2 linked regions of the Oryza sativa Japonica Group genome follow. The protein of the gene in region 2 binds, or shares a complex with, the protein of the main gene of each other region. Links are inferred from orthologs where the notes say so. Each region holds a gene or a part of one and is shown on either strand. Other genes may lie near its edges.

Region 1 (4,206 bases), on a different chromosome or scaffold from region 2:
AACCTATGTATGAATACCTGGCATTAGATATCCTTTGTGTCGAATGATATTTTGTTTTTCTGAATCTATGTATGAACACCTGGCATTAGATATCCTTTGTGTCGAATGACATGGTGACTGACAAGCCATAGAGCTTGAATATCACCTCAGGTCTCAGTGATGCAATGGGCTTTGCATTCAAATCGTTTATAAGCACCTTGTATCAAAGAATGCTTCATCGAATAATGAAATTAACCATGCCAATTCACACTTGAGGTGTTTATAAGCAGCAGTTTACTCCCAACGTTTGGCAAGATCAGGGAAGCGCACGTCCAGGTTTCTCCATATCTTATAATCATATTGAAAAAAAAACAGATAAAGGATTAACACGAATGATACAAAAAAGAGGGATCAGGAAAATATATATTCACATTCTCATTACACCTGATTAAATCTGTACAAATGTCCTACACGGAACATTCGCTATTCAAACATCATCTGAAAAATACATGCCCAATTTAAGGGCACGGACGGAGTACAATAAAAATGAAAAATAGAAATTCAACATAACAGCTGAAAGGTGTCCTTGTGTTCATCCATTGCAATAAACAAATTGTTGACATTCTATCCATTGTTTCATTAGAACCTTTGGCTCCATCAATCGAGGTGTAGAATCATTGTCGTTCCTTTAATTCTCTAAAGTATTCGCAGAAATAAGTACGCAAGTGCAATTACCATTCCTACAAGCTGCTCAATTGCTCAAACATGTCGCGGAAAATACCTATACTTCAAAGAATGACAATGTTCATGAATTTCCTCTTTGCAAAAGCCAACCACCATTTGTTTGGAGTACCATTAGCTCTGTATGCGCAGTTAAGCAACCTTCCACTTGTTTCCTCCCTTATCTGCTTCAGATAATTCCTCAATAGTTCTGAATCCAACAGAGAAATGCTTAATTGAGATCACATTCCATGAGAGATGGAAAGTTACTGTTTTATTTAGTCCCTAGAAGTAAAAAAAAAACTGATGCAATTACAACTTGGATGTTCCTAAAAACAGTTGTCAATAGTCAGTAAGCAACTTATTGCTTCTATACCCAGAGCAGACTTATAGTTTAGACCATAGAAATTGACAAAAAAAAAACATATATACAGGACATCAAATAAGGAGTTCACTACAGATTTAGTTAAATCCAAAATAAAAGTATCTAAGACATAAATTGCTGTAGTTTGGAAAGGTCCCCTTGTAATCTCACAAAAGCTAAATTTCCAATAGGCTTCATTCTTTTGTTTTTTCCCTAGCCAGGACAAATAGTATGGTATAGAAGAAAAGCAGCATGGATAAACAATTGGGGGAAAAGAAGAAAAACTAACTATTCGAGAAATAAGGCAAGCTTTTCTCTAGGAATAAAAAGCAACAATGATTTCACACAGTTGAGAAACTACTCCCTTCGGACTGATAATACTTATCGTTTTAGACAAGGGTGAGGTCAAATTTTAGAATCTTTGATTATGAATCATTTTTAAAATATGGTGACTACATGTATAGATTAGTCTTAAAAAGTACTTTAATAAAATCATATATTTGTTAACACCTTTATACATATTATAATTAAAAATAATGGCCAAAGTTGTTTTTTGGAAAGCGTGCTCTTGTCCAAAACGACAAGTATTATCAACCCGGAGGGAGTAAAAGAGAATACAAGCACACAAATGTGGTAGTGGCGGATGAAGTCATATACCTGCTTCCTCCTGAGATTGGGGTAGAGTGAAAAGACCAGGGAAGGGAAACCCTGGTTCCCCAGGCACAGGAACTTTCTCCAAACCCAGATTAATGATTGCCTTTGTCCCAACAGCCAGTGTTCGGCAACCTTCCAGCCTTTTCAGGGCAATATTGATGTAAAATGTCAGATAGATCAGTAACTTGTCTGCTGGGCTTTTCACATTGAAGTTTTTGAAGAAGACATTTGCTCGGAAGAATGTAATTGCTTCATCAACAATGTCAGCCTTGTCTGTAATAGCACGACATAAATCAGCAGCTTGGCATGGTTCTGTCAGAGTGAAACCACGGAAGTATATCACAATGTATTTTATGTTGTCACCGTGTCAGTATACCTTGATCGAATGCTGGCGCTGGGCCCCTTATATGAGTTTTTAGTGGAAGCAAAGGACAGCCGCATGCTTTGGTAATCCCGGTGTCATCAACAAAGCTAGAGTGATAAACCTGTCCACAAGTAGAAAAAAAGCATATGATGTTCAGATAACGGTACATTGCAAGCAAGTGAGCAACAGCGATCTAACAAAACAAGGTGGAAATACAAGGAAAATTAAAGGTGAAAACCGAGCAAAATTCTTGTATTCCACACAGGGCCTATAACACACCAATCTAATAGAACAGGTACTAAAGTATCTTCCAAGACCTCCATTCAAGAGTGCCACAAGCTGCCAATATTATGTACAGGAGCGGATCCAACTTGGGACATGGGGGTTCAAACTTCTCGGGGAATAAACAAACTGTTACTTGTATTAAGGTTAAGGCTCTGAAATTAAGGGAAGAGCTTCTTCCAGATCTAGAAGAGAAGCTAGGGTTAACGAACGAACGAACGAACGCAAGCAAATTCCAGACAAAAGTAGTCCCGATGGGAGAGAGAGAGATGAATCAGAAAGAGGATGCGGATGCTCACCATGAATCCTCTCCCCTGCTCTGCTCGCCCCGATGGAGATCGCCGCCCCTCCCCTGTTCAGCCGCGACTCGTCTCGGCGGCGCAAGGAGCGGAGGAGACAAAGAGACGGGAGATTTTCTTTTCTTTCTTTTACGCCACAAAGGGAAGGGGAAGACGCTCAGACTCTTACTATTGGGAATTATTAAGAATTTACCGCTGGTCCCACATGTATATACGGACGGACGAGTCTACGGATCGTGCGTCTGATCGGTTTGGAGAAAAATCGGACGCTTTACGTGAAAAACTATTTTAAACTGATTTTTCTCTTAAATTACTTATCCATATCATAATCCGATTGCATCATTAAATTCGCTGCAATTAAATCTTCAAAACAAGGCCACACAGGCATATATTTCGACGAAAAAAAATTTACCTTATTATTGAATTATTTTTAAATGTTGCACGATGTTCCACCAGGTATATCGGAATTGTTTTACTAAGTAGATCGAAAATATTTCACTCGTTTCAATTGGGTGTTGTTTTACCTTATATAAAAACAATGTTTCAGCAAATAGTGAAAGAATGTTTCAGTTCACTGCAACTTTTGATCCATATATAGTGAAACATTATAAGTACACTAGGTGAAACATTTTTCGGTGGAACAAAGAATAAATCAAATTCCCTTAATAGGGGGTTTCCAAAATATGTGGGTTTTTTTGTTGCAATGGAATATTTTAGTTCACTGCAACATTAGATCTATACATAGTGAAACATTATGAGTACACTACGTGAAACTTTTTTGGTGGAACAAAAAGTAAACCAAATTCCCTTAATATAGGGTTTTCAAAATATGTGGGTGATTTGTTGCAATAGAGTTGTGTGTGTGGACAAGTGGCAGGTGGGGACAGGGGACATGTGGTGGGGGCCCAAAGAGATTGCTGGTGCGCACGTGATGGGGGAAGGGTGGAGCGACCGATTTTTTCCCCTCCCCTCGCGCGACCGAGAAGGAGCATTCTCGTGTCATATACACATAAGGATCCACGTATTATAGATTGTGAGTAGTAAATTCTTAATTACCATATTTTAAAAATGGTAAAAAGTTAAAAGCTCTAGACGAGTACTCTCACCTTTATGATATCTCAATATTTTACTACTTTATAAGACTAGCTATTTCTTTATAATGACTATTTCTTTATAATGACTAGTGGTCCACATTCTAAAAATTAACAAACTCAGTTAGCGATTTGAGTCGACAACAAACTCTTCATACTACCAGTAACCACTAACTATTACTCCACGCACCGCCACCACCACTCTTTCTTTATGAGCCACCATCGTTTCTCCTCTCTGTCTTTGCATGCGCAACTGCACCCTCTAGTTGCACTCCATGAGCCATCTTTTTTTCCTCTCCCTCTTGTCATGCATACTATTGTAGCGACTCACGGAGGCAGGAGTCGACCCGATGAAGAGTGGAGACGCTAGATCCAGGCTCCTTCTTGCTGGATCTAGCGGTTCCCCAACTATCGGGGGAAAATAAAATGGAGAGAAAGAGAGAGTTAGTGTGT
Region 2 (4,194 bases):
GTGCCCACTTTGATTACCCTTCCATCTGGAAGCTGATGACAAAAGTTCAGCCAATAATACAAAAAGGGACCAAATAGAAACAAAGCAGGTTAACATACTTACAGTGTAGCTTTTGACAAGGATAGTGGTTTCAAGTCCTAGCTGGTATTCACGCTTGTAATCATAGCTGTACATATTTTCCCTTTTCAATTCTATGAAATGTGACAGCAAGCTATAGCGAAAACAATTAAGAACAATAAAGCAACTGACCTTAAATAACATAGTTTCTCTTTTATTTCCCGGACTGTTTCAAAGTCGGCAGATTTGTTCATAGCATACCTTTAAAGCACGAAATTAAGTTGATAAGAAAAACACTGAAGCAAACAATTGCATAAGCCTGTGTTTTCAGAGCATCTTTTATCTACAAACATATAAAAATGATAAAGAGTATTACCCTCTTCTTGAGAGTAGATCAACAAGATAAGATGTTATGTGCCTTCCAGCTACATTCATTCTTTTTGTAATATGTGGGTAAGAGAATCCATCAACTACCGGCACCTGGATCATAATAAACATGACGGGCAAAAGTAAATCTAGATAAAACTTTCTTTCACATTGCAAATTGACAATAGTCAGTATTCAATTGCTTAACTTTTTGTGCTTACTACTTACTACACACGTTGGTGATAACCTTACAATGTTAACTGGCTATGTGCGAGAATAACTAAACGGGCACTAGCATGCCATACTAACTATGGACTATGGAGTATAGTTTAAATTATCATTTTATTTCCATGATCGACATTTTGACCAGAAATCATAGATTATGGTGTTCAATGGCTGTGATTTCTACTAAGCCGCCTACAAGGAAACAAGGTATGCATATAGTCTTGGTCATACATCTTCACTGGATCAACAAAAAAAGGTAGATCCTCTTAGTTGTTGAGTTGAGGAATACCCATTAGCACAGTAGAAAATTATAAACATGCATCAGATAGATATTTTTGTAGTGCACCACAAGATTAACAGAAATGGAATCTCTGCATTTCAAATCTTTGTAGATTGTACAATATAGGGAAGACTATTATTATCATACCACATGAGTGACACCATCACCAGAGTCTATGACAAGTCCAGTCAGCAAACCTGGAAAGGATACAAACATAATACATGTTAAGAAAAGAACCAGTACATTTTGTGTTTGTAGGTGTGCAAGCTCATACATGTGTCTGTATACTGAGAGGGGGGGAAGGGGAGAGAGAGAGAGAGAGTACCTTGAGCATATAGCGAAAGAACAGCTTGGACCTGGATGAATACCCCAGCAAAGTTGTATTTCTCAAACATTGTCTCAATCTATTTATCGTAGGATTCAATTTGCTAGTTAGTGATATCTTAAAAAACAAATTTCATAGTACAGAACAGCCAGATGGGAGAAAACAACCTACCATTTTTTCACGATTTTTCACAGGATTGAGTGGTGGATCTGTCAGTAGAATTTTACACTCAGAAGGATCAACCTAAAGAAACAAAATAGAAATACATTGATTTACCTAGAGCTAAGAGATTTCAAGACACATAACGGAGAATGTTGATGAATTATGAGCATATAAATTTAAAAGGGTCTGATGTTAAAGTAATATAAATCATATGAAAAGTCATACTTTCAGCTCACTGTAAAATGCATGATCCCATATATGGCCCATATCATCCCAACTTTGAACAATCCCATTTGTAACAGGATATGATACGTCAAGTTGATGCCTCAAGTCAGCACAAGCCGCTCCAACCACAATATCCTGCGTGGAACACAATCACAATTATAAGGTGTACTGAGAGAGAGACAGAATGAGGGAATGCCAGAAACACAAAGATAGACATTGATTTCAGACCGTCAATTCCTGCTCCTGGAGTGACTCCTCATAACGGAGCAATGGTCGCCCAACAACACAAGGGAACACAGATGTAGGGAAGTTCTCTCCCGCAAAGCCACACTTTACATACTGCAACATTAGCCATTAGGTACCGAATTAGAAATTAACAAGATCACCTATGAATATGATATGTTCTGCTGTTGTTTAAGGCTTTAAGCATATCGAACATCAAGCCACAGGAATGATGTGGAAAATACTTAACAGAAACTAAGCCAAAGACAACAGCATAATTTCTTTTGGACCGCAAAATATCAAACTAATGTGGTTTATATGAATGAACATTATCTATTCCAGTTCCGCATTTGGAAGGACATTATCTAAAGATTCAACAGAGAACAATAATCTCATCGTATTACAGCAATTTTTCCTGCCTATGTGGAGAACAATAATTCCACCATACTAGAGCAATTTCCCCCTTCAATTTCTTGCAATGTGCACACGTATCATTTCATCCTAGATTAATTACAGCTCAGTAGTAAGCAGCAAAACTTATTCGGCACAAATGAATCTAGAGCACAGATGCTAATTACTCCCCAACCAAAGAGAGAGAAACAATCCTATCGTATATATTCAGGAAATTTCAGAAGAAATCCAAGAAACCGTCCAAGAAGAAGAACCGGGACGGAGGGGGTGCAGATCTAGGGGCAGGAGCGTGGAGGTAGAGAGGGAGGGAGGGAGGTCGCCACGCTGGATCAGGGATCAGGCTGCGGGAGGAGGGGGGGAGGGCGGGCTTACCCCGGTGCCGTTGTCGCACACCACCACGTTCCCGCTGTCCATTCCGCCTCGCCGTCGCCGTCGCCGATCGTCTCCCCGCGCGCGCTTGGGAAGTTGGAAGGGAGAGGGGGAGGAACAGAAGGCGAGAGAGTAGGGGAGGGACGGGGACGGGGTTGGGAGAGTAGTCATTTGTCTCACTGACACGTGGAGCCCATTGCCATCGGGCCCACGTGTCAGCGACCACGTCTCTCCGATCTTAAGCAAGAGGATTTTGATAGAGGGAGCTAAATGCCTCCTTTTAATTTTGTCTTCACAAAATTATCATCCAATAAAGGTGGTTTGTTATACTTTTATCTACATGGCCCGCTAGCATAGCAAGGTTAGCAATTTCTTTATATTTCATTTCTTCGCTAGCTGTTAAAGCCTAACAGCCACCTTAATCATAGCAAAGTCCCTATCGTTGTACCCGCTAGTTGTCAAACTAGCTCTAACATGAAGGAGGGCGTCAACCCTGACGATGAGGTGACCGCTTGAGCTCGACAAAGACAAGGTGTGCATCTTGGAACTTGGGTGGCGACGAGCTTGACGTCACATCCTAACCTGGGGAACCCTACGCCCTCTAGTTCCTCTGCCGCCTAGGTCTCTCTTCACAACTGTTGTCCTTGGAGACCCATTGTTATTAAAAAAATACCTCCACTTCTAAGTGGGGACTCCTCCTGCACCAAACTTCCTCTTATCGCCTGGCGAGTTATTTGGCCTCAACGCTTACCTTGTGCTAGAGCTCCTCCAACAATGAGCAGGCATGGTAACAGGGAGGCTTCCGGCAATTGGTAGGGTGGCTACCAATCTACAACGGCTAGCGAGGTGGCTATAAGATTGAGACGACCAGCATGAAGGGGGTAGTATGGTGAGATGAAGAGGGAGAGAGAGGCACTAATCGGGCGTTTAGAGGGTTGCCACCTAATAGTTAAATTTGTCCTCAATTGAAGGGACAGATACTCACCAAGCTAGCGCTACCGCTGGTCAGGAAGCCGAAGCCAGACTAGTAAAAAAACGTTTTTTACCAACGACCAAAGCCTGAGCTGGTTTGATTTGCTAATAGTATTATTTGATTCAATAAATGGAGAATGTAATAATTTTATATGTAGTAGATATAGTGATTAAAAGTATTTGTAAAGATTGAGCGAGTATATTAATGTAAGCCTGCATTTTACTTATTCGTCTTTTTCTTCTCAAATATTGCTAGACGTCTTCAAATTATATTAGTTATAACTATAGTTCACACAATTCAATAATTTAACCTTATTGTCTAAAATGATGCTATCTTATTACGATTGGGAAACTTTTGTTGTTAAGTTCTTAACACGATAAAATTTAGCTACAGGTTATAAGACCTACTCTCAATTTTATTTTTAATTTAACTTCAGAATACTAAAATAACGATTAGCAACTTTCTATAACTTAAAAAAACCAACGTATTTCACATATGATACAATTCAATAGTTTAACCTTATTGTCTAGAATGATGTCATCTTTATATGATTGCAAAACTTTTTGCTCTTAAGTTCTT

Evidence for each region. The genes of interacting proteins can lie anywhere in the genome.
Region 1: actin-related protein 2 (region 2) and actin-related protein 2/3 complex subunit 3 share a complex: the UniProt entries of both Arabidopsis thaliana proteins name them as parts of the arp2/3 complex. The link is inferred for Oryza sativa Japonica Group from reciprocal best matches to the Arabidopsis thaliana genes ARP2 and ARPC3.

The regions. Positions count from the first base shown.
Region 1 is NC_089036.1:7,667,405-7,671,610, reverse strand, and holds actin-related protein 2/3 complex subunit 3, read right to left. Parts: upstream 2,801-4,206; 5' UTR 2,666-2,800; coding exon 2,663-2,665; intron 2,203-2,662; coding exon 2,094-2,202; intron 1,991-2,093; coding exon 1,721-1,990; intron 985-1,720; coding exon of another isoform or gene 974-984; exon of another isoform or gene 911-973; coding exon 768-910; 3' UTR 376-767; downstream 1-375. UniProt on the Arabidopsis thaliana protein: Functions as a component of the Arp2/3 complex which is involved in regulation of actin polymerization and together with an activating nucleation-promoting factor (NPF) mediates the formation of branched actin networks.
Region 2 is NC_089042.1:17,335,652-17,339,845, forward strand, and holds the start of actin-related protein 2, read right to left. Parts: upstream 2,801-4,194; 5' UTR 2,688-2,800; coding exon 2,646-2,687; intron 1,980-2,645; coding exon 1,869-1,979; intron 1,776-1,868; coding exon 1,641-1,775; intron 1,497-1,640; coding exon 1,425-1,496; intron 1,333-1,424; coding exon 1,254-1,332; intron 1,126-1,253; coding exon 1,076-1,125; intron 538-1,075; coding exon 434-537; intron 319-433; coding exon 250-318; intron 167-249; coding exon 103-166; intron 33-102; coding exon 1-32. UniProt on the Arabidopsis thaliana protein: Functions as ATP-binding component of the Arp2/3 complex which is involved in regulation of actin polymerization and together with an activating nucleation-promoting factor (NPF) mediates the formation of branched actin networks.